2 linked regions of the Astyanax mexicanus genome follow. The protein of the gene in region 2 interacts with the protein of the main gene of each other region in a pairwise test. Links are inferred from orthologs where the notes say so. Each region holds a gene or a part of one and is shown on either strand. Other genes may lie near its edges.

Region 1 (16,814 bases), on a different chromosome or scaffold from region 2:
ATTATTATTATTATTATTATTATTAGCATTAGCATTAGCATTGTAATATAGCGGTATTTTGAAATATAGTGATATATTTATTACTGTTTGTTGTTCTGCAGGGTAAAACACATCAGTATGGAGATTATTATTAATGTTATTATAGTGTTTCCGGTCTCTCCGGTTTTAATGGAGTTGGTATTTCAGTATCCAGGTTAGGCCGAGCCGCAGGATCCCGCATCCTCCATCCTCTGAAAGCAGCTCGGCTCTCCTCGCCAGCCGGCTGCCAAAACGCGGGCGCAGCCGCTCGGCCCCAGCATGCAAAGGGTGAAGCTTTTAGGCAATGAGCAGCAGGTGATCTAAGCTTTTCTGCAAGTCCTAATGCTCCTAAAAGCCACTCTCCCAGCTCCTGTAATTGGGCATCAGTAGTTAATGTAGTATTGACTGCATTACATGCTCCTGTGCATCCTCTCCCCGCTAATGCCATTTGCATCACCTTGTACATTTCCCATATTGCTTAGCCAATAGCTGTTAAAAGCAATCCCAATCATGAATCATATAGCCAACTTTTAGCAAGACGGACGTCCAGAGGAGACAATTTACAGTTGAGTTAATCCGAGTACATTAGCACAACATGTATTCAGCCAGACAGACCAATTTATGCCTCTATGGCCATCCCTTTATTGGTTTTCAAATGGGTTAGTGAAAGGATGCTCGGCTCAAAGAGATATGAAATATCCATTTTCAAACATAAATAATGGCTCTGAAATGAAAGCCATTACTTGGAGGGAAAAGGGCCCCTAGCTACCATGTGGGCGATGACAATATTCCATGAAAGATGACAAGAATAGCCCATTTCGGGTCAGAGGGGCTTTTTAATAGCGAGTTCTGCGCTGTGGTAAGGAAGCCCCCCAACGTGGGACTGAGGTGGAGGTTCGTATGTTTGTACCGGAAGTTTTTAGATGGACCAGAAGACTCTTAAAGCACGATCCCATCCTTTTTATCACAATAATGCAGCAATAATGTGGTGCATTGACTATGTATTGGCGTACCTATACATATATATGTGGGTAGAGGTTCATATGTATGTAGTTTTAGTTTTTAAGTCTTGAGATTCTCTAAAAGCATGATCCCAAACTCTTTATTAGAGTAAAGTTGCAATGTGGTATACTGACCATGTATTTGAGTATTTATACATATATACAGTATGTGTAAGGTATATATATGTAAATATTTAAAGATAGATTGTAAGAATAGCCCATTTCGGGTCAGAGGGGCTTTTTAATAGCGAGTTCTGCGCTGTGGTAAGGAAGCCCCCCAACGTGGGACTGAGGTGGAGGTTCGTATGTTTGTACCGGAAGTTTTTGGACGGACCAAAAGACTCTAAAAGCACGATCCCAACCTTTTTATTACAATAATGCAGCAATAATGTGGTGCATTGACTATGTATTGGCGTACCTATACGGTAGAGGTTCGTATGTATGTAGTTTTAGTTTTTTAAGTCTTAAGATTCTCTAAAAGCATGGTCCCATTCTTTTTATTACAATAATGCAGAAATAATGTGGTGCCTTCACTATGTCTTGGCGTATTTATACATATATATGTGGGTAGAGGTTCATATGTATGTAGTTTTAGTTTTTAAGTCTTAAGATTCTCTAAAAGCATGATCCCAACCTTTTTATTACAATAATGCAGCAATAATGTGGTGCCTTCACTATGTATTGGCGTACCTATACATATACATATATATACATGTGGGTAGAGGTTCATATGTATGTAGTTTTAGTTTTTAAGTCTAAAGATTCCCAACCTCTTTATTGCAGTAAAGTTGCAAGGTGGTATATTGACTATGTATTTGAGTATTTATACAAATTTACAGTATGTGAAAGGAATATATATATATGTAAATATTTAAAGAAAGATTGTAAGAATAGCCCATTTCGGGTCAGAGGGGCTTTTTAATAGCGAGTTCTGCGCTGTGTTAAGGAGGTGGAGGTTCGTATGTTTGTACTGGATGTTTTTAGATGGAATAAAAAGACTCTAAAAGCACGATCCCATCCTTTTGATTACAAAAATGCAGCAATAATGTGGTGCATTGATTAGGTATTGGCGTACCTATATATACATATATATATATATATATATATATATATATATGTGTGTGGGTAGAGGTTCATATGTATGTAGTTTTAGTTTTTAAGTCTTAAGATTCTCTAAAAGCATGATCCCAACCTCCTAACTACAACACTGCTGAACAAAATAGTTACATAATCTTAATTTAGATTCAATCACAGCACAGATAATACAGCATTGTTTTAAGGTTGTTTTACATATTGTTTTCCAAAAATCACAAAATGCTGTAAAATCGTAGCCTCAACCTCCTCCAATAATACAGAAATAAGATGGTATATTGACTATGTATTGGGATATTTATATATGTATAACAGTGTGAAATATATATATATATATATATATATATATATATATATATATATATATGTATATATTTGAAGAAAGATGGTAAGAATAGCCCATTTCGGGGCAGAGTTCTGAGCTGCGTTAAGAAAAGCCCCAAGTCCAGTAGAAATGCAGAACTAAGACTATTTAGCAGCTCATCAGGTATCCAGAAAATACACAATAACACTGTTCAACATTTACAGTTACGTCCAAAAAGCGTAATTACAAGGTCTGCGTAAGGTGATCCTAAATATTTAATCTTGAAAAGACTCTAAAAGCGTGATTGCAAGCTCTTGCAATTAAAACTATTTGCTAGAACGTTGTCTTAAAGTAGTGCTGAATATTTTCTCGAAAGTTTAAAAAAAGTTTTAAAAGCATTGTCCCAAGCTCTTTACAGCTGTGGAAAAAAAATAAATCACTTAAAATTTATGAGTTTCTTTGATTTTACCAAATTGAAAATCTCTAGAATATAATCAAGAGGAAGATGGATGATCACAAACCATCAAACCACCAAACTGAACTGCTTGAATTTCTGCACCAGGAGTAAAGCAGCATAAAGTTATCCAAAAGCAGTGTGTAAGACTGGTGGAGGAGAACATGATGCCAAGATGCATGAAAAAAAACTGTGATTAAAAACATTTTTTGTTATTTCAGACATTTTTCATTTGTCTGCATATTAATGCTCTAAATGCTCTAAATAACAATATTTCTATTTGGAATTTGGGAGAAATGTTGTCTGTAGTTTATAGAATAAAACAACAATGTTCATTTTACTCAAACATAAACCTATAAATAGCAAAATCAGAGAAAGCGATTCAGAAACTGAAGTGCTCTCTTCATTTTTTCTTTTTCAGAGCTGTATATATATATTTAAAGAAAGATGACAGGAATAGAGCGGTTTGGGTCAGAGAGGCTTCATGTTAGCGAATTCCTGGCTCTGTAAGACGTCCTTAGACTTTGTTTTTGGGCTTGTAAAGTTTTTTTAATGTGGCAGATGTGTTGCTTGTGTTCTTAAACACTACATCTGTACTCTGTATTTGTGTAGTTGTGTTTCTTTTACAGCAGAAAGGCAGAATCAGGATCATTCAACAGCCACCCAGCAAACACGCAACACTGCCACAACACCGTCTACATCAAGACACAACACTAACAACTCTTAGTGAGATAATTTGGGTGGAAAAAATGCAAACAAAAAAAATAAACATAGAGTAACATTAGCGGCATTTAGCGAGTGATCTTTCCAACTTGAACACGACTTGAAGGCAGCATAACTGTACAGGTTTTGTAGTATTTAATAACTAGTAGTAACTAGGAAATTAGGAAATGACTTTAGAAGTTGTAACTTTAGTTACGCAAGCTTGGTGCAACCAAGCCCAGCTCTCAGGGAAAAAACTATAGTTTTTTCCCTGAGTACTATGTACTATGTAGAACCGTGTACTACGTACTTATGAGTCATAACACCACAGCAACCCCTTCAGCACTTCAGCTATTTAGCTATTTGTCCAATGCCGCGCACCGTAGTTACACTTTGGGTGCTGTGTTTCCACGGAGATTCACGTAAAAAAAACACAACAGCGAGTGGAAATGGAGGAGCTACTGAACACCGTGATGTCATGTGACCGAGAAAAAAGCCTAAAATCTCACTGGTCCTCCTGTTTTTTTCAATTGCAGTCCGGATGCAGGAGTTTTATCACTGAGTAGAAGTTAGAAATATATTTTTACAGACGTCCCCCCGAAAAAACTAATCCCGTCCAGATAGGGCTTTAGTAGAAACATTAAACAAAAACAACACTTGTACAGAAATCCTGTCTTAGCCTACGACTTGCAATCTACAAAGTACTTATGAGATATAAAGTTGTAGCCCATAAGTAACTCAAACTTCTGAGGCTTGCAAAACGGTGATGTCCCGAGGTGAAAGCATGGAAAACGGTACTCACGGTACTATTTCTAAGTACTGTCATGACTTATAAATATTATATTACCGTATTTACAATATTTTTTAATTATTGCACATGAACACTTTTCACGTTTCCGATTAAAACAACTCTTAAACAGAAAACATGGCATTATAAGTATGCAAACTTCTAAGGCTTGACTTGAAGCCAGTATAAGTCAAAGTCGAGCTTTTAATGCTGTTTTTAAAAGCTGTTTTGATGTTTTAATCGTAATAAAATAGATTAGACCAGATTCTGTTCTTTCTATTGGTTCTATCCAACAGCAGCGGGGTGAGGTAGGTTCTCCAGCATCTCCTCAAGCTTCAAAAAGTCCGACAAAAGTAGACTAAGCGCTCCGGCTCGAGGGGAAGACCGAGAAAAACGGCGATCTCCCGCGGTGAAAGCACGGAAACGGTACTATGTGTTACCATGTATTATACCGCGTATCAACCACTTAAGCATTTAAAGCACTTAAAGCACTTCAGTACCGGAGCACGCTCGCCCTACTTATGCTACTATGGTCCTACTATAGTGCTAGTATAGTCCCAGTGGTCCAGTAGAGTACCGGTACTCACCCTCCTCCTTGTCTAGCACCATCGTCCTGAGGAACGAGGGGTCCGGCTCCAGGCGCTCCGTTCTCGGCTCCAGCAGGCTGCGGGGCTCCGGCGGCGCGCGGGACTGAATGATGCGTTAACGGGGGGCGTCAAAAAACGCAGGCTCGGAGTGGCGGTGCCTTATTTACAGTGGCGGACACCCATGTGTGGAGGCTCGCGCGGTGGACACGCGACCGACCGACCGCCAAACACGAGCGCCTTGCCCGTTACTCCGTCCGTCCGTTCGCTTGCTCGCTCGTTCGTTTTTTCGTTCGTCCGTCCGTACGCTTGCACTATACGTGTACTACGCACGCTCGCGCTCGGTGTGCGTTCCCTCCGTGCGTTCTCTCCGTGTTCTCGGTGCTCTCTCTCCCCGGTTCGGTTCGGCTTTGCTCGGCTCGGTTCGGCTCTTCTCGGCGGCGGATCGCTCCGTATTATTATCCTCCTCCTCTGGAGCGCGCGCGAGTTACGCTACGTGTTTTACGGGTCGCCGTCAACGTTGTTTCGTTACGCTGTTTGTCGCCACAATGTATCACGCGCGTCCGCACGCTCACATCCGCGCGCGCTCTCTCTATAGGCTCCACCAACTGCGAGAGAGTGGTGAGCGCGAGCGCGAGTAATGAATAAATAGAATGAGATAAGTAACGTTAAGGGGAAGAGGAGGAGGAGGAGGAGGAGGAGGAGGAGGGCGCGTGCGCACAGTGTAGCCAGCGCAGAGAACAGCGTAACAGCGTAGCGTAACGGAGAAATAGATAGGGAAATAAAAGAGAAAATAAAGAAGAAGAAGAAGAAGAAGAAGAAGAAGAAAAATAAATAAATCCTCTTTGGGGAAATAAGTCGTAAAAGAAGAAAAGAGAGGAAAAAAGAATCAGTAGAAAAACAACGCGAATGAAAACACGAGGACACAGTCGTTAAAGAAGAGAGGAGAGGAGGAGAGAATAGCGTAAAAAACGCAAAACAAAACAAACGCGAAAAAAATATATAACAAAAAAAACGGGAAGAAATCGCGAAAAATGAAAGAAAAGTGCTTAAAAAGAGGACAAAAAATATATGTATTTAAAAAGGAATCAGCCTTGCGAAGAAAATGCAACAAAAAATAAACAACGCAAAAACAAACCCGAATAAAGAAGAATAAAGAAGAAAATATGCGCTTTAAAAACAAAATAAAGAATAACGAATAGAGAATAAGCCTGTATATAACGTAATTACGCTATTCTTTTGTAGTTGTTTTTTTTTTTTTTTTTTTTTGTTTTTGTTGTTGTTGTTTTTAAACAAACCCGTACTTCTACACGCGGCTCCGAGCAGTTCCCGAGCGTTTCCGCAGCTCGCGCGACTACGCGATTATTATTATATTATTATACTACGTCTTAGCTAAGAAATCTGAATAATACGAATATGAATACGAATAAGAAGCATCATCATCATTATCAGCAGCAGAAGAAGAACAAGAAGAAGCAAAAGCAGCAGAAATCCAGAGCAGTGTTGAAGCGGACGGCGGTTCGCTAAACGCACGCGTGCTCGCGCCCCCAATTTATGCGCTCGGGCTCGCTGAATAAACGCGCGCGCTCGCTCGCTCTCGTTCTCTCTCTTCCCAGAGACCCGCGGATTCCCCTGTTAATTAAATCAATTCATTATGCTCAGATCTGATTAGCGCCCCCCTCCATCCCCCTCCCTCTTTGAATCAATTATTCAATACACAAACATAATTGCTTGTGCCAGAGGTGTCTAAGTATTAGCTTATTTAACTCCAAGGACACTAATTACCCCTAGGGCAAGGGAACTTTTCTCATTAATTCTGACAAAACACAAAAGCACAGCTAAGGGAAAGTGTGTGTGTGCGTGCGCGCGAGTGCGTGTGTGTGTGTGTGTGCTCGCGCGCCTGAGCGTGCGCCTGAGTAAGTGAGTGAGTAGTCTACGCTGAGTGTTTATGTGGGGGGTGCACAACATCATGGTGAGGGGAGGGGCTGGGAGTGAGTGAGTGAATGAGCATAGAGAGAAAGAGAGAGAGATAAATAGTGAGACCTAAGATTCCTTCACTAAACAAGCAAACAGAGCAAAAAGACAAAAAATGATTAAAAAAAAATAATATACAGTACTGTGCAAAAGCTTTAGGCACCAAAGCAAATGACACTAATTCATTTATCTCAGCAATACGAGTGTTTTTACCTGAAAAAAGCACCACATATGATTTAAAACAGATGCAAATAAACATAAATACAGTAAAACTTATTAAGGAATTCTCATTTTTAACTAAGTTGTAAGTATGTTATATCCTGTGAGCCGAGCTGAAGAACAAAGTGTAGAGATCCAGATTTCTCCTGGATGCTCCTCAGCCAGCATGTGTATATTATGTTCAGTTCCGTCAGCAGCTCACCTGATTTACCACATTTACCAGTAATTTACCACGTTGTTGATTAATATGATGAGAACTAGAAATAACTCTATTAAACTCAGATGAGGAGGAGAGATTAGGAGATGTTTTGTTGTTTTAAGGAAAACTTTTGCTTTTTGTAAAATTGCTGTTTGTATTTATTGTAATGCTGGTGTTTTACCGAGTTAATGAAGAAATGATTGGTTCAGCAAAGATAAATTAATAAAGTTTACTAAAATAAATGATTTATTCAGCAAAGATAAATTAAGTAAAGTTTACTAAAAGAAAGGATTGACTTGAAGTTCAGTTCACTTATTTACTCTGTGTAACATTTAAGTCTTAAAACCGAGTTGAAGCTACTTAAATTTATCTGAAATTAAATTTACTTAAAAAAAGCAAATGAAGAAAGTTGTGAAACTTTTTTTAAGTAAATTTTACTCATAATTTTTTTTCAGTGTAAGCTAATGCTAAGCTAATGCTAAGGTAAAGCAAGCTACTCCAACCTAACCACAGGTGCAGCTAGCCTGCTAGCTAGCTAAGCTAACCAACACCACCCAGCAAACAAATAGAAACCCTGGTGAAAAAATATATACTTAATTGTCCTTAGAACATATTGAGAAATGTCTAACGTATAATATAAATATACTAACAGATTTATGTACTTACTTAAAATATATGAAAAGTGCATATATATACAAAAGTACATAAGTACAATATAATGTATTTTAAATAAATAGAATACTATGAAGTAGACTTTTAGTTTAATGTAATACATATATATATATATATATATATATATATATATATATATATATATATAGATAGATAGATAGATAGATATATTCACTCTGATGAACAGTCATTGGTCGAGACAGACAGGTCCAGCAGATGGGCGGTGTTTTGATTAGCGGGGAGATAGCATGCTCCGCTAATATGATTGTTAGCTGCTTTGTCTGTGATGAAAGTGTTGCTGTTTAAGCGGCGGTGCTTTTTCCCTGCCCCGAGGAGACTTTTAACCAATTACAGAGGAGATCCGACCAAGATTAACTAATAGAGGAGATGCAGAAGGTTTCCCAAGTGCTCTGTTTGTCAGCAGGAGAAGATCTGCTGTACAATCTGTTATTTACAGCGCTGTGGAGGATCTGACCAGCATTCTGCCTGTAGTATTAATACTAATTACAAAATACTAGTGCATCTCAAAAAATGAGAGTATTATTGAAAAGTTACTACATTTCAGTAATTCAGTTTAAAACGTGAAACTCATATATTATATAGATGTATTAAACACAGAGTGATCTATTTTAAGCCTTTACTTATTTTATTGTTGATGATTATGAATTACAGCCAATGAAAACCTAAAAATCAGTGTCTCAGAAAATTAGAATATTATATAAGATTAATTGGTATGTATGTAAATCTGCATCTCCATAAACCATCACTGACTGGTGGAAATTTCCCACTAGACCTCAAGCAGCTTGGACTGTGTGTCATATAGTGTGTATAATGTATATAGTAAGTGTGCAGCAGGATGTGTATAAACTATATACTGTAGAGTATATAGTGTTTATAGTATTTATAGCATATAGTGTTTATAGTACTTATTGTATATAGTGTAGAGCATATAGTGTTTATAGTACTTATTGTATATAGTGTAGAGCATATAGTGTTTATAGTACTTATTGTATATAGTGTAGAGCATATAGTGTTTATAGTACTTATTGTATATAGTGTAGAGCATATAGTGTTTATAGTACTTATTGTATATAGTGTAGAGCATATAGTGTTTAGTACTTATTGTATATAGTGTAGAGTATATAGTGTAGATTATATTGTGTATAGTGTATATAATGTATAGTGTAGATTATATATTATAGAGTATATAGTGCATATATTGTATATAGTGTATATATATAGTAAATGTGCAGCAGGATGTGTATATAGTATATGGTGTATGTAGTATATGGTGTATGTAGTATATAGTGTATGTAGTATATAGTGTATGTAGCATATAGTGTATATAGTATATAGTGTATGTAGTATATAGTGTATATAGTATATAGTGTATATAGTATATAGTGTATGTAGTATATAGTGTATGTGTAGTAAATATGCTGCAGGATGTGTATATAATATATAGTGTAGAGTATATGGTGTATGTAGTATATAGTGTATGTAGCATATAGTGTATGTAGCATATAGTGTATGTAGCATATAGTGTATGTAGCATATAGTGTATATAGTATATAGTGTATGTAGTATATAGTGTATATAGTATATAGTGTATGTAGTATATAGTGTATATAGTATATAGTGTATATAGTGTATGTAGTATATAGTGTATGTAGTATATAGTGTATATAGTGTATGTAGCATATAGTGTATGTAGTATATAGTGTATATAGTATATAGTGTATGTAGTATATAGTGTATGTAGTATATAGTGTATGTAGCATATAGTGTATATAGTATATAGTGTATATAGTGTATGTAGTATATAGTGTATATAGTGTATGTAGTATATAGTGTATGTAGTATATAGTGTATATAGTGTATGTAGTATATAGTGTATGTAGTATATAGTGTATGTAGCATATAGTGTATATAGTATATAGTGTATATAGTGTATGTAGTATATAGTGTATATAGTGTATGTAGTATATAGTGTATGTAGTATATAGTGTATATAGTGTATGTAGTATATAGTGTATATAGTGTATGTAGTATATAGTGTATATAGTGTATGTAGTATATAGTGTATGTAGTATATAGTGTATGTAGTATATAGTGTATGTAGCATATAGTGTATGTAGCATATAGTGTATATAGTATATAGTGTATATAGTATATAGTGTATGTTGTATATATTGTATATAAATATATATATATATATATATATATATATATATATATATATTAAATGTGAGGATGTTGAGAGCTCACAGGGATACAGGGCTGGACTGTAATCAATTGTTTGATGTTTCTCTCTGACAAGTCTGACTTTTCATTTCTGGAGTCTGAAAGATTGAACGCTTTTTGAGTGGAATGTATGTTTGCTGACCTCTAGCTGAAGTGAATGACACACAATTAATCCAATCACAGCGCAGCGGACAGACCGTGGCTCTGTGCCATCAGAAGCTGAATGCTGTGAAAGCTCTCAAAGATCTGAATGCAAATATAAAATATAAAAATATAAAGTTATTATAAAAAATAAACGTAGATAAGCTAATCATTATTGAAAACTATATTGTCAAATAAATAATCGCAATAATTAATATTTTTGTCATTTTAAGACACTCTGCATTTTATGTCAATAATATAATTAACTATGTTTTATTGGCCAAATATATATTTATTTATTGATATAATAGCGCAGTAACGCAATTACTATTCATATCAGGATAATATCTATATATTGTCCAAAAAACTGATATTATTGTAATTTTAGGACAATACATGTTTTCCACTGACATACTGATAATATAATAGCACACTGATGCAATTACACCCTTTTAAAAACACTTTTTATATGTTTTTGGATTTCCACTTAGGTCTCTACTGCCCCTATAAACATAATAAACTCTCCAAACACCAAAAAACTCATTCTGCTGTTTTCTGTGAATATAATGAAAGGGTAGTTGGAATGAAATTATTCTTCATTGCAGACAGTACACAGCAGGATTAGCCAGTAGACTTCGTCTGAGTGAGGAATCTGTACCTACTGTCTGTTGCGAGTCATCAGACGAGGGAGATGTAAGAGCTTTCTAATAGTTCTGAGTTCAAATTTTTGTGCTTCTATCACAGTTAAGCATGTGCTAGCTTGTTTGTGTTTTACTATTTAGCTACACAAGCTAACGCTAACATGTGGTAAAGGCACAGCATAAATGACACTAATGCCATTATTTATAAGAATATTTTACCACTGGTTTCAATTTAAAACAACAAAATCTAAGAGATTGGTGCTTTGAAGGTTTGAATAAAATTTAATTGAAAAAAAGAAAGGGGTAATTTTGGAGGGGCGCTGAGTGATGTATGGGTTTAGGGGCAGGGCAGAAGGGAGAGCAGATTGGGCTGAGCAATGTGCTTTTGATAGCGTTTTGATAGTGCAGTATTAGTGCTTGTTTGATTTGCATATTGTGAGTATCCTTGTACCAAAGTGACCACAATAAAAACATTTTTTGAAAGGTTAAGAAATGTCCTATTAAATAAAATACCACCATATCAAATTAAAATTAAAGCACTGTTTCTAAGCTAAATTGACACAGACATTGGGTATACTTTAATAGGCAGTACTTGTTAAATGCAATGAAGCAACATGATAAATTGATATATTACATTTAATAAGGAAAGACTGGCCAGGTCAATGTCCACATCCATCTCCAGGACTGACCACTGCTGGCCATCTAATTCACCAGGTAGCCACTGTCATTCCTGAGTGACAGGTGAGCTATAAGCCTGAACCGGTGTTCATCATTGGTCCTCAGCATCAAGGTCATGTCATCTGGAGCTCCATAGCACTGACCCCCTACCCGTCCGGATCTTACTGGGAATATAAATTACTCTCAGCCCGGTGCTGTGATACGGATCATGCCTTTTTCCTATGGTCAACCAACAATGGAACTCTCTATTGTTTCTGCATTATGAGAACGGGCCTAGATTACACCCCTGCTGTACCTCATACCAATCCCAGAACAGGCCAAGATCACACCCCTTCTGTACGCCAAACCAATCCCAAAACAGACCAAGGTCACACTCCTACTGTACCCCAAACCAATCCCAAAAACGAGACAAGATCACACCCCTACTGTACCACAAACCAATCCCAGAACAAGCCAAAATCACACCCCTACTGTACCCCAAAAAATTCAAGAATGAGCCAAGATCACACCCCTACTGCACCCCAAACCAATCACAGAACAAGAACAGGCCAAGATCACACCCCTGCTGTACCCCAAACCAACCCCAGAACAGGCCAAGATCACACCCCTGCTGTACCCCAAACCAATCCCAGAACAGGCCAAGATCAAACCCCTACTGTACCCCAAACCAATCCCAAAAACGAGACAAGATCACACCCCTACTGTACCACAAACCAATCCCAAAAACGAGACAAGATCACACCCCTACTGTACCCCAAATCAATCCCATCCGATGCGATGGTGACCTGGAGACAGTAGAACAGGCCGTACGCCTGGAAGTTAATTAATATTCATTTCTGATAGCCCCATCTATTTACCGCCGCGGCTCAAACGCAGCCGGCACAAAACCGCGGTGCAGTAATTAACCCCACCTAATCAGATGGAGCGACGGTGTTGTGTTCTCATTCATCCTCCGGCAAACGATCAGCGGATGGAGGACTCGGCGAGAGGATGAACCCCAGCCCCTCCTATATTTCATAATGCTTAAGCTGATTATAAACCAATGTCAAACATGCTCTTTTTCTGACTGCGTTCAACTGAAAGTGCTCCTTTATGTACGGGGAGGTGGAGGCGGCGGAGGGGGTGATCCGGGTGGAGGTGGAGCGGAGGGAGGGAGCAGTACTGTTTAAGGGCCTCATAATCTGTTTTGATGATATCTGGCTAAATTAGATAAATGATAAATGATGGGTTTTATCAAACATCAAAAAAAAACTTTAAAAGTCCTCATTGTTGAAATTGTATTTGGTGTAGTATAAATTAGTAGTAATCCACGTCTGATATTCACCATCAGTGTGTAGTCGATCCCCTGTAATTTCTGTGGGTAAGGTACACTTGTAGATTATATATTATGATTAAGGTGGTACTATTTAAAGGGTGTCATTATCTGTTTTGAAAACATATGGCTAAATGAGATAAATAGAACATTTTGGATCATTATTTGGTATAGTTAAATTTCATAAATTTAATTTCATATATATTTTTTATTTAATTGTTTTATTTATTTTTATTTATATTAAATTATAGTAAGTCAATATAGAGTTCAAGCTTCCATTTCTGATATTTACCGTCAGTGTGTAGTTGATCCCCCGTGATTACATTAGGTGAATTTGTAGATTATACATTATGATTAAGTTTGTACCATTTGAAGGGCCTCATAATCTGTTTTGATGATATCTGGCTAAATTAGGTAAATGATAGATGATGTTTTTATCAAACATCAATACATCAAAATGCTTTAAAAGTCTAATTCTTGAATCTTTATTTCAGCATTTCATTATTCGGTACAGTAGAAATCAGTAGTGTTCAGTTTTTGATATTCACCGTTACCTATACTATGATATAAAGGAGAGCTCTGGTGTAAAATTGATTTTGTTGTATTAAAACATGATAAAAAGTTCTTACCTTTGTTGAAAGCACACCTCCGCTCTCCTGCAGCTTCCTGAGATCAAGTAATTTTGTGCTTTTTTGCCCAACATTCTGCACAACGGCCGTATCGGGCATGCAACTATTTATTTGCCCCTGCAGATAAATCGTTTTTTCCACCGTTATCCAGCTCAAAGTAGCTCAACACCTTCTTGCTAGAATCTGGAGAGCCCTGACATTTAAAACGAGTCATTAATAACTTTAATAGTGCAGCAGCTTTTAAAAAAAACACTGTTTACATCCCATAATGCTTATTTCAGCTCCGAGCGCCGCCATCACTGTACTGATAATGACATAGACATATATATATATACATAGACTCTACATAGGCTGCCACGTTATGTGGCAGTCTATGTATATATATATGTCTGTGTCATTAGCAGTACAGTGATGGCGGCTCCTGGAGCTGAAATAAGCATTATGGGATGTAAACAGTGTTTTTTAATAAGCTTCTTGTGCACTTTTTAATCTGTTTTGATCATATCTGGCTAAATAAAATAAATAAATGTTTTATCAAATGTCAATAAAATGCTTTAAAAGTCTTCATTTTTTAAGCATTAATTGAGCATTTCAATATTTGGTACAGAAGAAAACAGAAGTACTTCCATTTCTGATTTAATAACCTTCAGTGTGTAGTCGATCCCCCAGGATTACTTTAGGTACACTTGTAGATTGTATATCAAAGATATATGGCTAAAGAAGATAAATAATGATTTCATCAAACATCCATTAAAAGTCATCGTGCTTGGAGCAATTTTTGGAGCATTATTAGGTACATTAAAAATCAATAGTATTTCCGTGTGTTTTTATTTATTTAATTTCCAGTTGATGCAGAACATTAACACTTTTTATTTTATTTGTATTATTTTTATTTATTTATTATATTATAATAGGACAAGATTAAGAACACTACGTCAAAATAGAGTCCAACCTTCTGTTTCTGATATTCACCGTCAGTGTGTAGTCGATCCCTCGTGATTACCTCAGGTACACTTATAGATGATATATTATGATTAAGGGGGGGGGGGCACAATTTGAATGGTCCCATAATTAGTTTTGATTCTATCTGGGTAAATGAAATAAATTATGGTTTCATCAAACATCAATAAAAAGCTTAAAAGTCCTCAGGATTTTGGAGCATTATTTGGTATGGTAGAAATCAGTAATTTTTTAAATGTAATTTCATTTATTTTATTTCTGTCTCATGGAGAATCTTAAATATATATTTTTAAGTAGATTTTTTTTATGTATATGTATATGTATAGTAAGGCAAGCTCAAGCACTTATTCTTACAGCATTATTTGATATAGTACTATTCTGTAGTATTTTCTTGGACTTGTATGTTTTTATTTAATATATGATATATGATATATATGATATATTATATTAAGACAAGCTCAAGAACTTTTACGGTGGTAAAACAATATAAAAAATACATATACTGTAGATAAACTGAGTCAAAATGTAGTAGTCGATGCCCAAGAATACCTTAGGTACACTTTATATACAGTACAGGCCAAAAGTTTGGACACACCTTCTCTTTTTCAGTGTGTTTTCTTTATTTTCATGACTGTTTACATTGTAGATTCTCACTGAAGCATCAAAACTATGAATGAACACATGTGGAGTTTTATGTGCTTAACAAAAAAAGTGAAATAACTGAAAAAACATATTTTATATTCTAGTTTCTTCAAAATAGAAAATAGCCACCCTTTGCTCTGATTACTGCTTTGCACACTCTTGGCATCATTCTCTCAATGAGCTTTAAGAGGTGGCCACCTGAAATGAAAAGTTTTCCAACAGTCTTGAAGGAAGGAAGGAGTTCCCAGAGGTGTTTATTAGCACTTGTTGCTCCTTTGCCTTCTTCACTCTGTGCTCCAGCTCACCCCAAACCTCAAATCTGGATTGGGTTCAGGTCCGGTGACTGTGGAGGTTCAGCTCATTATTTATTAAGTACATAAAACTCCACATGTGTTCATTCATAGTTTTGATGCTTCAGTGAGAATCTACAATGTATATAGTCATGAAAAAAAAAAAATATATATATATACATTATATAATCTAGATAGATATAGATTATATAGTGTGATTATCTCCCTGGCCTTGATGATGGTGTAGGCTCCAATCTAATCTATAATTATTTCAAATGCATGTTTTAGTTTTAGTTTTAGACTTACAGAACAAGACAGACATTATTTACACACACTTACAGTTTAGGCACCATAACTTTTATTATAACTTTAACTTGTCCAGACTTACAGTGTACTAAGTGTGTCTTGAGGAGGTAGTTCATTATAGTAAGTCATTATATTCATTATATGCAGGTCATTAGATGTGTTTTACACACTTTTTGACCATTTGTTGGGCAGTTGTTTGTTTATTTGTTTGTTTTTCTGTTTGAAAGTGTTGTATAGGTGCAGCACCTCCTAGTGGCTGGAAAGTGCATGTTCAGTACTAGTGATAGAACCTTTTTATGTTCCTCATGCAGTGGGACAGGACGAGAAAAAGAGAGAGGACAAAAAAACGAGTGTCCCTTACAGTGCAGTCGTCTCCTCTTTACTGATTTGAAATCACCAGTTAAAAATAGCCTAGGTAGCACTACTGCTGCTGGTAGTGGTGCTGATGGTGGGGGAAAAGGAGAATCCATCCCCGTCCCAAACATTTAATCCAACTTTAATCCCAGTCATTAAGAGTTAGACATTTACAATTACAATCAAACGCTTACCAATTACACAAATTATTGACGGTAGATACTCTATGTGTTCATATGATATCCAAGGTATGGTATGGAATGCAAGCCAAGTTGTTTACTGTGGTGTTGCTAGGGGGTCACTATAGTGTTCCAGGTGGTTGCTGTGGTGTTGCTAAATATATGTTTGCTATGGTCTTGTGAGGAGGTTCATATGATATCCAAAGTATTGGATTACTATGCTGGTGTTGGAGGGGTCACTACAATATCCAAGGTGGTTGCTTCAGTAGCCATGGCAATTACTGAGGTGTTGCTTAGGGGTCGCTATAGTGTCTTGGGTGGTTGCTGTGGTGCTGCTTAGGGGATGGAACCAGTTAAAAATAGCCTAGGTAGCACTACTATTGCTGCTGGTAGTGGTGCTGATGGTGGGGGAAAAGGAGAATCCATCCCCGT
Region 2 (17,071 bases):
AATACAGGAAAGCTAAAAGAAAACCATCATTGACACCTAAACATAAAAGAACAAGACTGCAGTTGGCTAAGGAGAGGCAATCATGGACTGTGGATGACTGGATGAAAGTTATCTTCAGTGATGAGTCAAGAATCTGCATTGGACAAGGTGATGATGCTGGAACTTTTGTTTGGTGCCGTTCCAGTGAGATTTATGATGAGGCCTGTCTGAAGAAAACAACCAAATTTCCACAGTCCTTGATGATATGGGGCTGCATGTCAGGCAAAGGCACTGGGGAGATGACTGTGGTTAATTCTTCTATCAATGCACAAGTTTACATTGACATTTTGGACAGTTTTCTCATCCCTTCAATTGAACAGATGTTTGGAGATAATGAAATAATTTTCCAAGATGACAATGCATCGTGCCATAGGGCAAAAACAGTGAAGGCATTCCTTGGAGAAAGACACATTCAGTCAATGTCATGGCCTGCAAATAGTCCAGATCTCAACCCAATTGAAAACCTGTGGTGGAAATTGAAAAAAATGGTCCACAAGAAGGCTCCGACCTGCAAAGCTGATCTGGCAACTGCTATCAAAGAGAGTTGGCACCAAATTGATGCAGAATACTGTTTGTCACTCATCAAGTCCATGCCTCAGAGACTGAAAGCCGTTATAAAAGCCAAAGGTGGTGCAACTAAATACTAGTGATGTATTTTGAATCATCTTTTGTTTATCTGTTTTTCATGATTCCATACTTTTTTCCTCAGAATTGAGTGATTCCATATTTTTTTCCCTGTGGTTGGTCAATAAAAGTAACATTCACTGACTTCCACAATGTTTTTTCTTCATTTCTTTGAGTGTTCCTGAAAGCCAACAAGTTGCACTTTGGAATGACCTTATTATTGTATCATGTTTTTGATCAGAGTTTGTTTTACAGAATGAAATGTCTGAAGGAGTGCTCATCCAAGACTGGTGATTCCATACTTTTTGCCAGGGGTTGTATATGGACAAACGTTTTGGGACTCAGCATCTTTCATCTTTTCTTCCGAATCCAGGGTATTAAATTACTTTTGTTGGAGTAACTTTCTCTACTGTTCAGAAAATTTTTAACTAGATTTTGGAGCTTTGCTGTAAAAATTGAATAACATTCAGCAACACCAGTATGGGTGAGCTACAACCCACCTCATCCCCAGCTCATCCCAAAAATTACCATCACTCCAGAGAACACAGTTGCAGTGCATCACAGCTAAATACTGGGGGGCTTTATAACCCTCTAGCCAATAGGGGTGGGAATCGATTACTATCTCACGATTCGATTCGATTCCGATTTTGGGGGCCACGATTCGATTCAAAATCGATTTTTGATTCAAAACGATTTGAATTATAATAAATATTTCTGCTTCTGGCTTATGAATCGTATTGAAAAAAAACCCTCCATAATATACACTGGTCCTGGAGCAAGTAATGTGTTACAAAAACAATAAAATGTGCAGGAATGTGGGTCCTCAGTGACAGAGGAATCACTGGGATATCACAATGACGTTAATGAACAATAAATACATAAATAAATAACACTGCTTTATTACCAGGCTACTAGCGGTGGTGTGTAGGTGACGCTGCTGGGCTGATGTGATGATAGCAGTGGAGCGCTAAAGTTCAGGAGCAGCTGCTGATTAACTAGTTAATTTAAGGTGGTTGTATTTCTTCAGAAAGGGGGCAGGAGGTGGAGAAATTAATTCATATTGTCCATTCCTTAATTCCTCTGTGATGAGGAGCTGAAATTAGCTCTGATTAGCTTATTGTTATTTTTCCGTTCCGCCTTAAATGCTGCAGCCCGCTGCCACCTGTAGCGTTATTTAAGGTGGAACTGGAAAGTTAGCTAGTTAGCTAGCTAACAGTTACTGAAACTAACTACTAGCGATCTTTTTTATGCTTGTTATGAAGCATTCTGCCATAAAACATTGAAACTACACGTTAATCTAAGGTAATATAGTGCTTGTTCTGCCATCTTACCGGTGATTCTCAAACACCTACGCTCTGTGTGTGTCTGGAAGATCTCCAAAGGGACAAGCGCTATCCCCAGGGTTGCCAGGTCCAACAAAAATACCCAGCCCAAAATCAGTCTAAAACCCGCCCCTCAGAATCGATTTTGGGACATTTTAAATCGATTCTGAATCGTAGTAAATGAGAATCAAGATTCTTATGTGAATCGATTTTTTGGCACACCTCTACTAGCCAATGCCTGGTATTATACATGGTGCCAATAGTTTTATGTTTATCTGTAACAAACATTCCTGTGTATAACATTTGGGCATATAGTTTAAGTGTACGCTCATTAAATCCCTACTGAATAAGCAAGAAGTTTAACACTCACAGTAGTAAAAGGCAGGCTGTGCTAAGATTAGTCAAGATCATCCTTACACCTGGTTTTAAACCTTGAATGTGAAATAAATCACACATTACGGTACTCAACTGAAATCCTTCTGATTGTGTAATATAGCATACATATTTATGTACATAGTAAGCAAATGCCTAACTAGCTGTAAAACATTTTCACATTTCTAATTAGTCACAGAAACAAAACCCATGATCTTCTCAAAAGAGAAAATTCCAGCTAGACAAACATCAACTTTCTCAAAGGCTCAACATTCACTAGCAGAGGTAGTGTGTACCAGATGCCTGTTATATCTGCCCATCATAATTTAAATACAGTACTAGTCGAAAGTTTGGACACACATTCAATGTCATTAGCTAGACTGTACATTTTATATTGAAGACCTTTAAACTACATAGGAACACATTTAAAAGTGTTAAACAATCCAGAATATGTTTACCACATTCTGCTTTACTGGCAGATCTGCACACTCTTGGTATTTTAATCTCAGTGTCTTCACGAGGAAGAGTCATCTGGAATAGTTTTCTCAGTGTCTTGAAGGAGTTCCTGGAGGTGCTGAACAATAGGAGGCGAAGTCCAAACATTTTTTTGTTTGTTTACTACATAATTCCATATCTTTAATATCAATATACAGTGTATTTAACACATTAAATAAATAAATTGAGAAAAAAACACATTGAATGGGAAGGTGTGTGTGCCAATCGATTAAAATAAATAATAAGTTAACCACAATATAATTCAGTGATTAATCACAATTACAATCACATTTTCTTGCTTAAGACTAAGCTTTTGATAATGTGTATTGAATTGTGAATAAAATAAACAGCAGTAGAAACACTTAAAACATATGTATCATTGGTGTCAATCCCTTAAAAGATATTTGTATTTATCATATTGGTACTGAACAGTATTTTTGGGACGGGAACAAAAACAATGCTGTAGTGTGATATTCACCTGGCAGACTAGATCCTTTTTTACTGTATTATACATTCCATACTCAACAGCTTGAAAAGAGGAAACCTGTCATCAGCTGTGTGTGTTTGTGTGTGTGAGAGAGAAATACAGAGAGAGAGAGATGGAGAGAGAAAGAGAATAAACTTCGCCACAAATAAAATATAATCTACCTTATTAACTGAACAGTAAGTGTTGCTGTGTTATATCACTAAATAAAATGCGTCACCAGGCTCTGTCAATTTTGTCACATGACTCATTTAGTTCAAAATATTAACGCGTTAAAGTTTTTTAGATTAATTGCATGCATTAACATGTTAATGTTGACAGCTCTATTATTTTTATTAGATGCCGATCACTGCAAATTACTGCTCAACAAAATATGGCAATGTCAGTTTTTTTTCTCTATTTAAAATTATAACCAGAATACATATTTGAATTATAGCTATGGAGCCCCTAAGGTAAAATCATGTTAAAAAAATAATGCATGGCCATGACTTATTAAGGCGTGGGAATGAGATCCTAATGTGTAGCCACAACTTATTAAGGTGTGGCAATGAGTTAATTAAATCATAGCCATTAAGGCGGGGCCTCCTTTTGTTTTACAGCTAACAAAGCAAGCAGCTCTCAAGGGTTGTGCACAATATAACTGCTTAAGGAAGGTAAATTAATCTGCATACTGTCTACATCTAAGCCCGTCAGCTTTTTGTATGAGAATTAAAAAAGTCCTTTACTTAGAATTATGCCCTGTCTCACTGCAAGAGACTCATAGGCAATAAAGGAGAACTCTGGTGTAAAATTGACTTTGGTTGTAGTAAAACATGATAAAGATTACTAACCTTTACTGAATAGCCCACCACTGCTCTCCCGCAGCTTTCTGAGACCCAGAAATGGCAAAAAGCACTCTTTACAACGGGAGCTTTGGGGCATCCAGATAAAGCACTTTTACACTGTTATCCAGGCTCCACACTAGGGGTGTGCCATATCATATCGTACACGATAATATCGTCAAATCTTTTAAATATCGAGAACGATATTATACCCTACAATTTCGTGCCATATCACCCATCCCATTTCCCATTATATATCTACTAGAGACAGTTTATATCTGTCCAGTATCATTTATTTTACTTTAATCCTGGATATATGGAGATATTTGGAGTGCATTATTATTAGTATCATGACATTCTGGATCATTGACTTCTGCTACAAATCTGATAGAATTCTTGTATTTTTTAATATCTCACTTAGGGGTGTGCAGTATTATATTGTATGTAATAATAAAATATTTTTTTATTTTCTTGCAGTGTATAGTGTATTTTTAAAAATAATATTTTTAAGTGTTTTGTCATATCACCAAGAGTATCGTTATCGCGAAAATATCATGAAATATCGTGATATTATTTTAGGGCCATATCGCCCACCCCTACTCCACACCTCAATAGTAGAATCCACAGAGCTCTGACACTTAAAAGGAGGCATTTATAACTTTAAAAATTAACAAGAAGCTTATTAAAAACACTGTTTCCAACTCTTAGCACAGCCTAATCTCCGGGTGGTTTTAATAAGCTTCTTGTAAAGAGTGCTGGGCAAAAAGCACAAAATACTGGATCTTGGAAAGCTGGGAGAGGGGAGAGCAGATGTGGGCTATTAAACAATGGTCAGTACTCTATCATGTTTTACTACACCACAAGTAAATTTTACACCTTCTCCTTTAATTTACAGAAAAGCAAGCTTATTATTCTCTGGACACAACTTAATTAACTAGTTCCCACGCCTTAATAAGTCTCTTGCTTAATTATCTTATTCTTACGCATAAGGATATCGTTCCCATGCCTTAATAAGTCATGGCCACGCATTATTTTTTTAACATGATGTCAGCTTAGGGGCTCTGCAGTTAGCTAATGGAGTGAAAAGGGAAATATTTTGTGGCTTCCCACATACAGCGCAAGACTGCAAGCCAGAACTCTCATGGGAAAGAGAGAAATGAGGCAGCAGTAGGTTTCATTTTCAGTCTGATCAGACTGCTCAGGCTACTAAGGTTATACTTCCCACTTACGTTGCCTGATGGTTTCAAGTTTAGTAAAGTTAATTAGCTAGTCGATAAAAAGCTGACAAATCTTTCATATTTTTCACCTTTTCGCTGCTGCCTGTCACACGCTCCGGATCAGACAGCTGTTGCCGAGGAGGGCTGGGCTCTTCCCTGCTCTGCTAAGTTAATACACGGCTAGGATAACGATAATAACTTAGTTAGTAAGAGCTAACCTAAAGCTAGCTAACGTTAAACACTGATTTATTTACTCTCTGGTCCCTTTAAAGCGCTTTAAACCAGAACACGCTTAACGTTAACGGTTTAATTAGAGCTCGGTTGTAGTTAAAAAGTTAAAAGTTGTATAATTCAGTCTCTTAACTGGCTTAAATAAGCTAGAACTGGGCTGTTTAGTTCGGTTTAGTTCAGTTTGGACCGGTTGAAACAGTTAACGCTAGTTATCGCTAGGCTAGGTTAGCTAGGCTAGTTAGTTACCACTAGCAACGCTAGTTAACTAGCCCCCTCGCTGGGTTAACTAAGTTACCTGAGGCTGGGTTTCCCCCGTTCTGTCAGTCGGGCTGCTCCTCTCCTGCTGTTACTGAGGTGTTGAAAGCTGAAGCGTCTCCATGTCCGAGCTCCGCGGCCGCAGGTGTCGGTAAACTTCCGGGAAAATGTTGTCTTTATTTTCGGTCCTGCTCCTTCGGGCTCCTTCGGGAGTTCGGGAGTTCAGCTTCGTCGTGGCCGCGGACCAGGCGCGCTCCCGCTCAGCGCTCGCTTCATTGATATGTGAGGTGAGTCGCGCGCGCGTTTACAGCTGTGTACCTAACTAGTCTGAACCAGCAACGTGCACGCGCGTGATGGTGTGGTCTACCTATGTATATATTATATTATAGTTTTTGACCCACGGTCGGTCTGCTAACTCAGCTACTAGCTAACACTAGTGTTACTACACTGTAAGCCCAGATATGTTAAAAAAAAAAAAAAAAAAAAAAAAAAAAAACAATATTAACAATAGTAACGTAATGGGCAATAAACCATTAACTTAACATATATTAAAACATCAAATTATTACTACTGAAAGGAAAGATTATTTAACTTTTTATTTTTTGTTATACCAATAATTTGCCCAACAATTCCACATTTCCATTTTGTGTTCCAATAATTAGTTCTAAAAGTATTAAAATCAATAAAACCACAAGGGTGCCCAAATTTATGCATTTTGTTTAAATAATTATTATTGCACACTTTCTGTAAATCCTATAAACTTAATTTCACTACACAAATATCACTATGCTCATCTGCTATATTATATATTTATATAAAACTGCTGATCCAAACAACCAATGATTTATAAGGAAAATCATAAAAAAAATATCAGGGGTGCCCAAAGTTGTACACACCACTGTAAATCAGAAACAATGGCTATTTCCAGCTTTATATTCATTACACATTCGTATTTCTTTTCTTTTTCTTTTTTATTTTGCATACATAATACAAATATACAATTCACAACAGTTTTAAAGTTTTATTATTGGTTCTTTGTATTTTTACCGCAGAGTTCGAAAGAATGGAACTAGAAAACTTTATAACTAGAAAAGTGTGCAAGGAAAGTTCTAAGGTGTTGCCATCCGGAACAATAGTTCAGGGGTCAGGGGCGATTCTAGGATCAGAGTTTTAGGTAAAGCCAGCCTCCTTTTTACAACAACAAAAAAGCTATAGACTTTCTGTAAGATCCCAGTAGGAGTGAGACCGACCAGTGGCCCAACATCTAGCTTCTCTTACTCCAGTTTAAACAATGGCTGAATGACAGGCTGTAGCATTATTTTAATAAATGAAGGAAAAGCAGTAACTATTGTTTAGCATCTCCAGGAACTCCTTTAAGAAAAAAAAATATTTCAGGTGACTCTACCTCATGAAGACACTGAGATTAAAATACCAAGAGTATGCAGATCTGTTCTCAAAGCTAAATGTGCTATTTAGTAGAATCTAAAGTATAAAATATATTCTGTTTTTTGTTTCTGTATAGGTTTAATGCCTTCAGTAATAAATTTACAATGTACAAGATCATAAAAAAGACATTGAACGAGAAGAGGTGTCTCTAAACTTATGACTGCTACTGTTAATAATACCAACATACAGCTCTAGAAAAAAATAAGAGATCACTTAAACACTTTAATATTACCAAATTGAAAACCTCTGGAATTTAAATCAAGAAGAAGATGGATGCTCACAAGCCATCAAACCAAGCTGAACGGCTTGAATTTTTGCACCAGGAGTGGCATAAAGTTATCCAAAAGCAGTGTGTAAGACTGATGGAGGAGTAAATGCCAAAATGTATGAAACTGTGACTAAAAAGCAGGGTTATTCAACTTGTACTTGTTTTGTTTTTTGCATCTTTTTTTGTTATTTCAGCCATTTCTCATTTCTACTAATAAATCCTGTAAATGACAATATTTTTCTTTGGGATTTGGGAGCAATGTTGTCAGTATTTTATAGAATAAAACAACAGTGTTCATTTTACTCAAATATATACCTATCAGAGAAACTGATTTAGAAACTGATATGGTCTCTTATTTTTTTGTTAGAGCTTTATGTTAATCAGGTCACACTGGATGGTTAGGCCTTCTCAGTTTTTTTCTCGCTTTCTCGTTACAATAAACGGTGAGCCAGAGCGAGGAGTGTCCGTACACTGTGTCCGCGGGGACGCGCACAGGTGCGCGTGCCCGAGCACAGCAGTCAGGGCGCTGCCTCCCTTGAGTCAATAAAAATACACCCCCGCGTTCCTGGAGATAAGCACGACCAGCAGCAACAACAGCAGCAGCATGACCTGCGTTACTCAGCCCAGCGAAACGAGTCCTTCCTTTATGTTGAAACAGCTACCAGCAAGGAATGTGTTTTCCCAGCTTTACTGGCTTATTTGATGGCTTAGGAGACAGTCATCAGCACGAATGTTGAGGGCAAGTATTATAGATAGTTTCTATGTGTTATTTGTTTGTTTGTTTTAGCTAAAAATACGTTTTTGTGTTAAACATATAACATTGTGCAACTGACCAGTTTACGTTTATGTGGTGTTTAGACATGGCTTAATAGCGCCTCTGTAGGTCAGATGTGCTACTGCAGCACTACTAATGCTAAATCAGTGTTTCCTAAACTTTTACATGTCATGCCCCCTCTGGAGGAAGAACCTTATAAAAAAGCTCACACACTAATAATTCATTGGATCACCTTTATGTTTGTATTGTTTTGATAAGCTTCTGCAATGTCACAAGATTTATTTAATCCAGTGTTGCATCAATTTTAACCAAGATCTTGCAGCATTGATGATGGTAGAGTCTGACCGCTGCACAAAACCTTCTCCAGCACATCCCAAAGATTCTCAATGAGGTTAAGGTCTGGACTCTATGGTGAACAATTCATGTGTGAAAATGATGATCTCATGCTCCCTAAACCAATCTTCCACAATTCCGAGCCATGAATCCTGGCATTGTCATCTTGGAATATGTCCGTGTCATCAGGGAAGAAAAAAATACATTGATGGAATAACCTGGTCTATATTCAGTATATTCAGGTAGTCAGCTGACCTCATTCTTTCAGTAGATACTGTTGCTGAACCTAGACCTGACCAACTGCAGAATCAACCCCACATCATTTACTTCCAGGTAGTGATTTTTTTTATCTGCCCACAAAATGACAAGCAATGAAGTGTCAAGTAATGAAGTACAAATACTTTGTTACCTTACTTTTCAGACGGCTTTTTCACGTCTACTCCTTACATTTTAAAAAATAGCCTTGTTACTCCTATTTCATTTCAGCTTGTTTTCATTGAGATAAAACTTTCCATCTAGATAGAGTGTATCTGATTGTGGTTGGATGTAGAGAAGTATAAACATAACCATACTGACCCCCTATTGGTTTGTATACGATCCATCACACCTCCACATCATGTCAGTTCATATTTCAGCAAGAACGTAGCAAATGTATGTAGTCTAGTATGAAGATGATCTGTGGCGGAGACTCAGCTTCTTTAATATATTTGCATTGTATTAAAATATATTCATTTTCAATGAGTACATATGCAGCTGAACCAGGGAGACATCCCAAATTTAACAACATTAACATTTTAGTATAACATTATGGTCATTATGGCTTTTATAAAATGTGTTTTGGGGAGGGGGGGATAGTGCACTATAGGCTCCTGTGGCGCAACCTAAGCTTTTGTCCTTAATGGCTTTTTTTTGGCTTACATTACTTTTACTTTCGTACTTTAAGTAGTTTTAAAAGCAGTACTTTTACACTTTTGCTGGAATAAAATACAGAAGTATTTTTAAACCCTACTGTCTATACTTCTACGTGAGTAATGAAAGTAAATACTTTTGACACCTTTGCTTATCTCCTACAAAAAAATCGAGCTTCAAAACATTAATTCCAAATGACTAATTAATTAATGGTCACAATAATTTTATGTTGTCTCTATATGAATTTTTAACAGCAGTTTTAGCCAGCAGTTGAAAAATATATGCATTCATCATGTTCATTAATGTCATGACAATGTTGGACATTTAGTGATTTCTTTGTTCTGTTCTTTTTCTGGGACAGAATGATTCTACAACTTATAGCGGTAAAAAAACTAAGACATTGCATCAGGTTGTATAATGTATTAGACGTTGTGTCAGATGTATCAAGTGTGTTCCAAGTGGTTGCTAGGTGTTTAGTATGATCAGTATTTAAGTTTTTTTCTGGTTCTTTATAGTTTTAAAAAGCAGAGTTTGAAATAATATAACTACAAAACTATATAACTAGAAAAGTGCACAAGGAAACTTCTAAGTGTTACTGTGTGGTTGTTGTGGTAATAGGTTGGTTGATGTTGCTATTTGTAAATAAATTAAATTTCACTGCTAGTTGTACTGTGCAAGACTATGTAAAAAACGATGTCAAAGTGTACTTTCAGTTTGGATTTACATCACTGTGGACTAAGCGGCTGCTGTCCAAAATGGAAACCTCTGCTCCACAATCAACATCTTGAGACATGTTTAATATTCATGTGAGACAACATATGTCTTGTTTTGTTACTTGGAGTAAAGGTGAGGCATTTAAATGCAGGAGCACTGTTTCAGCTGTTAAGCATGGGGGTGGGTGCATCATGTTCTGGGGCTGCTTTTCTGCCAGTAAAACGGGTACATTGCAAAAACTGGATGGAATAATGATGTAGGTGGACTTCCTGCAAAAGAATTAGCCAGAAATTAAAAATGCGTACAAAATTGGATGTTCAGTACAGTGACCCCAAACACATATCAGAAGTGATTGTGGAATTGCTAAAGCAAATTCAGTTAAATTTAGCTAAATATGAGGCCAACGCTTAAAGGGTGGGTTTTTGCCTATAAAACAACTAATGTAATTGAATTTAGTTGTTTAATACCAATAATGAGTTGACTTTAGAAAATCCCACAAACATATGTATATAAGTCTTTTTTTAATGAATGTTGCTATGCAGTATTGCCAGAGCATGATAATTATACATAAACCCCCATCCACAACTGTATGTAGGCCAATGAGGCCAATGGGGCTGTGTAAGTGAGGAGCACTCAATATGGTTAATGGAAAAAAGGGAGGGGCCAAATGACTATGCTTGTATTTTATGTAACACTGATTGGCTGCACAGTCATCCAATGAAAAGACATAGTGTAATTTGATAGATTTTAATGCGAGTGGATGAGTATGTGTGAGTCAGTATAACCCGGTATCGTCTTTCTGATTTAGACACAAATCTGTGCTGACTGTACTTTAACCTCCAGTCAAATATAGACTCTTGTCACCTTGTATCTCACTCTCTCTCTGGCATGGGGACAGATTTGAGTAACAGGTTTCTTGGAAGGTGTAAATAGGGTGTCGTAAGGGTTATATGGGCCAAGTATCCATCATACTGCAGGTACGGTACATTCAAAAAAATGTGTGGTCATTGATTAGTGAACAACTTTTATTTATATTATGTCATATAATAGTGTTAAATGGTCTCGACCTTAAGACCAGTCTTATAACCATAAAAGGGTGGTCTCAGTCTCATCTCAACCTCTTTGGAATTGCTAATGTCTCGGTCTCGGGTGCTTAAAAATGTTTGTAATATCATTAAATAGGTGAATGTACTTTTACCACATGATCCATTGTACAACCCTGAATCAGAAAAGTTGTAACAGTTAGGAAAATGTAAATAAAATAAAAATGCATTAACTACATTTAAATATTTACTTAAAATTTAATTTATTTGCAGACAATATAACCGTGAGATATGTTATGTTTTTTTTTAAACTTCATTTTATTTATTAATAAATATCCATTCCTGCAATATGGGCAGTTTGCAACTACTGACATGACTATAAAGTGACTATAAAAAGTGACTATAAAAAGATTATTTTAGAGACACAGAGTTTCTCAAATCAAATATCGGCACCAAAAACTGTCTACTTTCTAAACTTACAGGAAATTACACAAAAAAATTGTGAAGACTTTGGATATCCCACCATCTACAGTACATTATATCATCAAAAGATAATCTGGGGAAATGTGCAAGGAACAAAGCTAACAGTCACTATTGGATGCTGGTGATCCTTGGCACTGCATTAAAACAGGCTGTACTGATTCTGATTCTGTAATGGAAATTACTGCATGGGCTCAGGAACACTTCCAGAAACCTTTGTAACTATTGGCACAACATTAGCAAAGTCACCGTTGTTTACTGTCTTGATTAGCAGGCGAAATTACCCAAGATACTACATGTTTTGTCTGGTGTACTTTCCAAGAAATAGGATACCATATGGTGAAATATGAACATATCTCAATGTGCTGAAATCCAGAAATGAAAGTTAAAGCTGTATCATGCAAAGATGAAACCATATCTCCATATGATCCTGTGCTCAGATTAATCAAATGCAGCACTGCAGCGCTTCTGGATAATGTTGACAAATGACTTCTTTGTATGATGCATCTTTAACTTGCATTATACAGCAAATGTTGTAGGATGAATTGTGTTCACACACAATAATTTCTGGATGTTTTTTTTTTTTTTTTTTACAAAATACTTGGTTTTGACATGAACTTGACTACTAACAGTCTTGGTTTTGACTCTTATGTAATGACAAATGCATAACAGTCACCCCCCTCCCTTGCACTTGTTGATTACAGGACGCATGTCAACAGCAGGATTTCCTTATTTAAAAGGATGAAAATTACTGTAAACTGCTGGTCCTACCTAAATTACTTTACCTAATGTTTGTCCCTATTTAGCACTGGTTGTCTGTTTTATGCAGGCTACAGGCATGTTTCAACACATTCCATATCTGCACTTATGTTTGCTTATATTTATATGTGTGTATTTGTGTATGTTTACCAATAAAACTTTATTGGTCATCAAGTTCTTCACAGAAACCATGTGTGTCTGAATGCATGTAACAGAAGGTGAGTCTGTGTGTTTATATATGTGTGTGTTTTTCTGCAAACACTTTTTAACGTGTGTAAAAATATGGGGTTGTTGTTTTTGCATTTGTTTCAATATTCCTAACATATTCTTTACTGGAGACAGGACTGTAGGCAGCCCAGTCCAGTACCCGGACCCTCTTCTCCAATAGTCATGCCTTTATAATATGTGCATCATGTGGTTTAGCATTGTCTTGTTGAAGCATGCAGAGATGTCCCTTAAAAGTCTAGGAGGCAGAATATGTTGCTCCAAGATCTTAATGTAAGTTTATGTACATCACGATGTGTATTACCACAACCCCATACTGTGACAGAACTAGAGCTTAGATTGGGCAAACCTGACATTTTTTTAGTAAGTAGAGCGTTAAAACTGAGCTATTTAAAAACATTTTCATGTTGTTTTAATAAGCAAAATCTGTTCAGAATTATGTTAATTAACATTAATTAACTACTTGAGCCCACCTGACCCGGCCCAAGGAAATTGGTGGGAAATCTTGGCCCGTGGCTCCTTTTCACGAGCAAGAAGTCATGGGATAGCAGTAAGTAACATGTTCATAAGGTGTTTCCTTGGGTACACCCACATCTGGTTGTAAGGTGATCTTGTGAGTAAGGTTAAGCACTGGTCAGCATCCTCATGGCTAGGCAACGTGACTTATTGGTGTCGAAGCGAGGTCTGATAGTAGTTGAAGCACGGTCCTCAATACACAGTGGCATATGTGTACCAGGAATATGTCATAGAAGGCATTACCACCCACAGTGCCGTCGGGGGAAACAACAAATCAACTATGGCAGAAATGACATCCACATTCGATGCAGGAGATCCCAGACGCATATTCTGTGATTTCCAGAGCAAAAAGTTAAAACACATCCTCATGTTGTTCTTGTACTATGTGATTTACATGTTATACTTTTTTTCATACCTTTAATAATGTTTTATTTCTATGTATTTTTTTTTCAACTTTAATTGTGAACAAACCTATCATGCCACTTTGTATTGTTGTGTAATCTTGTCGTGCCATTAAGGCAGTGTATCCCTTTAAGCCTACATGATATTGAAGCTTAGTTTAGTGGATTAAATGCTTTAAAGTCATTTGATGATTTATGTGAAAATTCTGACCACAGTGTCTGACCTTATCTCTTCGTGGTGGTGTTTTGGAATTGGCAAGAAGTGACTCAGTGGCAGTGAGTAGTTTGTAAGTCTGATTTAGGCTGATTTATGTCCTGTAAGGCTACTGGTCTGGACCTGTTCCCATTCACTCCTTGTGGTGCCAAACTATGCCCCACCTGAAAGTGGAGGGCTGGTGGTTATCACCTTCTTGCTCGAGGGAAACCACCTCAGAGCCATGCCGTATAATATGATCGTGTCCTGGATACTTTCTGTGATACTGGGGGTACATGTGTCAGAGTGCTCTTAAACAGGCCTGAGAGAGAGGGGACTCGGCTATTCATTCTTGGCGATGGCCATGAAACTGAGAAGCTAAAAGCTTGCCATAGTCTTGAGCAATACACCATAATGCCTCAGCGTGAACAGCAAATGAAAAAGGGAGCTGAAAGTGCACCCCTACCTTAGCTGTTAAAGGTCTAGAATATCATCTGTGTGTTTGCACTTCACCGTCAGGCAGTGCAGATTAAATCCAAGTGCCTCCTTGGGAGCCCTCCAGGCACTAACAATCCCATTCTATCCATGCCGCTTGCTCTGCCTGAAAAAACGAACTCAAAGGCATCAGAAAGCCCCTTCACGTAATCCCTGCAAGCTGGGGTAGCTTCTGGGGTCTCAAGATCATGGCGGGAAAACAGAGTTGGGGTGACCAATGGTTTACAAGACAAAGACAGTCATCCCATGCGCTACAAAAGTCCTATATCTAAAATATAAGTAAGTTGCAGCCATACAGAAAGCATCACGCTCTAGGGAAAAAGGAAGAGCCAGAACCTGTATATGGTGATTAATTGGAACTTGCTTGATGTTGATGTGCAAATCAGCCATCATACACCGCAATGACGTGGAGGAGTGCTAAGCCTTTTTTTAGATCTAGATCGCCAGTTTGAACCCCAAAACATGCTGCTTACCATAAGCAAACGAAGTCTGACACAGTAAAATTGATGTGTGTGTGCGTGTGCACATGTGTGCTTATTTAAGTAAGAGCAATAAGAGCAGTAATTCAGAGTTAAAATGCAATTTAAATAGTCTGTCACATTTTCTAAAATACAGCCATTACAGGACTAAGAGAACCATCTTCCACCATTATGTGTTAGAACCTTCACTGTTACCTAAATTGTTAATTGTCTCCCAGAGGTGGACAGTTTTTAAAATAATTTTTCCATTTTCTCCAATTTACGCAGCCAATTACCCAACCCACACATTAGAACTCCCCATATCGCTTCTGATACCTCAACACCAGGAGGGTGAAGACTAGCAAATGCCTCCTCTGATACATGTAAAGTCAATCACCACCTCTTTTCAAACTGCTGCTAATGCAGCATTGCCGAGTAGCATCATAGCGTGCTCAGAGGAAAGCGCAGCAACTCAGTTCTGATACATCAGCTCACAGACGCCCTGGGCTGCAGACATCACCCTTAAAGGGGTTGTGGGGAGAGAGCACCATCTATCCACCCAGAGAGAGCAAGACTCCGCTAACCAATGGCAAGCTACATGAACAGGATTCGAACTGGCAATGAGCAGGACAATTTTGATGAGAAACCTTTGTTTACTGTACATAAAACCGGTGTGATATACATGTTGGTGTGCCTTATAAGCGCAATAATACAAGCAGATCTCAATAAGTCATACTGGTGACACAGTTTAATGACTAGTCTAAACAAATCCAGTCAAAGTACAGTATATCCAGATACTGTCCAAATTCAAAATGCATGATTATGTCATATGTAAACAGACCTTTATAGCCACTATTGGCAGCATCACAGAAAAAAAAGTTTTTAGGTAACAAGCAGTACTGCTCAGCTTCTATATTAAGGTGCAGAAGTCAACAGGGAATTCCACAGAGGTGAAGTTTGGTGTTGCATCCAACACTAGTGAAGTAGGGGCACCCATTTTTGTTTTTATTGCAGTGGCCAGACATATGCTGCCTCTCATGACAGGGACTCCAACGGGCATTTTTAAGCAGGACAATGCTCGTCCACACACAGAAGGAGTTTACCAAGAATGTTGCTGCCAGACTGTAATACTTCCTTGACTCTTCCAATCGACAGAATAATAGGACCAGCTGGGACGCCAGCTTCAGCAACCTACAATTTTGCAGGGTCTACAGACCCAGCTTGAACATCTTTGGGTAAATGTGCAACGGGATTCTGTACGGAACCTGTTTACCTCCATGCTCCACTGTGTCTCATCTTGTATCCATATCATCTTGTATAGAGGTGCCTAACAGGGTAGTAGAGCATGTCCTCTAATATTGTAATCACTTACATATACCATCACATTACATTCAAACATAGACATATATATAATGTCTATGGGGTGGAGCTTCTTTGAGCCTGGATAACGGTGTAAAAAATGATTAATCGGGGCAAATTATGCCCAGTGTCACCCAGTCTGAAGTGTGTTTGGACAAACTGTTAAAATTTCAAAATCTTGGAACGCTGTGGGAAAGTGGAGGTGTGCTATTCATCAGAGGTAAATACTTTTTATGTCATGTTTTACTACAGGTGTTTTACTGCAGGTGTTTTGCATTCAGATTCATACACATTTCCTATGGAAATACAGAAACTTCAAATGTCGAGACAGGTCTTAGCTCAACACCACTGATTGCAATACTACAGAAAGTGTGTTTTAGTGTGGTCTTGCACATAGTTTATTCTGGTACAATCTTTGGGACAGCCTGTCCCGATTTAGACTGACCCTCACTATGTTCTGTACTTCCTCTATTAGTCATTAGAACCAAAAATAACCAAAGATGAAGTAATAAGTTACTACACCTCCTGTAGTACCACTTGCAGTTCCGCCTGAGATCCCAGGGCCTTTGGGAAGGTGGTGAGGACAGCAGAACTCCCAATATTACAGGAAAGGCTGGAGTTTTTGAACACTATGCTCACTCACTGTCTGTTTTATTAGAGACTTCTGTCTAGCACATTGTAGATAGGAAGTCAAAGACAGTAGTTTTGAATCTGTTGTTGAACAGTTTATCTTGGTCATCTTCTAGTCCTTTATCAGTGCTCACAGGAAGCTGCCCACAGGACACAGGACTGCTAGTGAACTATTCTCAGTCCAGCAGTGACACCTAGGTATTTAAA

Evidence for each region.
Region 1: the proteins of ptpn3 (region 2) and lmo1 interact in binary tests that used the Homo sapiens proteins (3 or more experiments, as listed by UniProt). The two-hybrid records come from large-scale screens. The link is inferred for Astyanax mexicanus from reciprocal best matches to the Homo sapiens genes PTPN3 and LMO1.

Annotation. Positions count from the first base shown.
Region 1 is NC_064423.1:41,021,329-41,038,142, forward strand, and holds the start of lmo1 (rhombotin-1), read right to left. Parts: upstream 6,539-16,814; 5' UTR 4,968-6,538; coding exon 4,946-4,967; intron 1-4,945. UniProt on the Homo sapiens protein: May be involved in gene regulation within neural lineage cells potentially by direct DNA binding or by binding to other transcription factors.
Region 2 is NC_064408.1:109,496,261-109,513,331, reverse strand, and holds the start of ptpn3 (tyrosine-protein phosphatase non-receptor type 3), read right to left. Parts: upstream 6,149-17,071; 5' UTR 5,901-6,148; intron 1-5,900.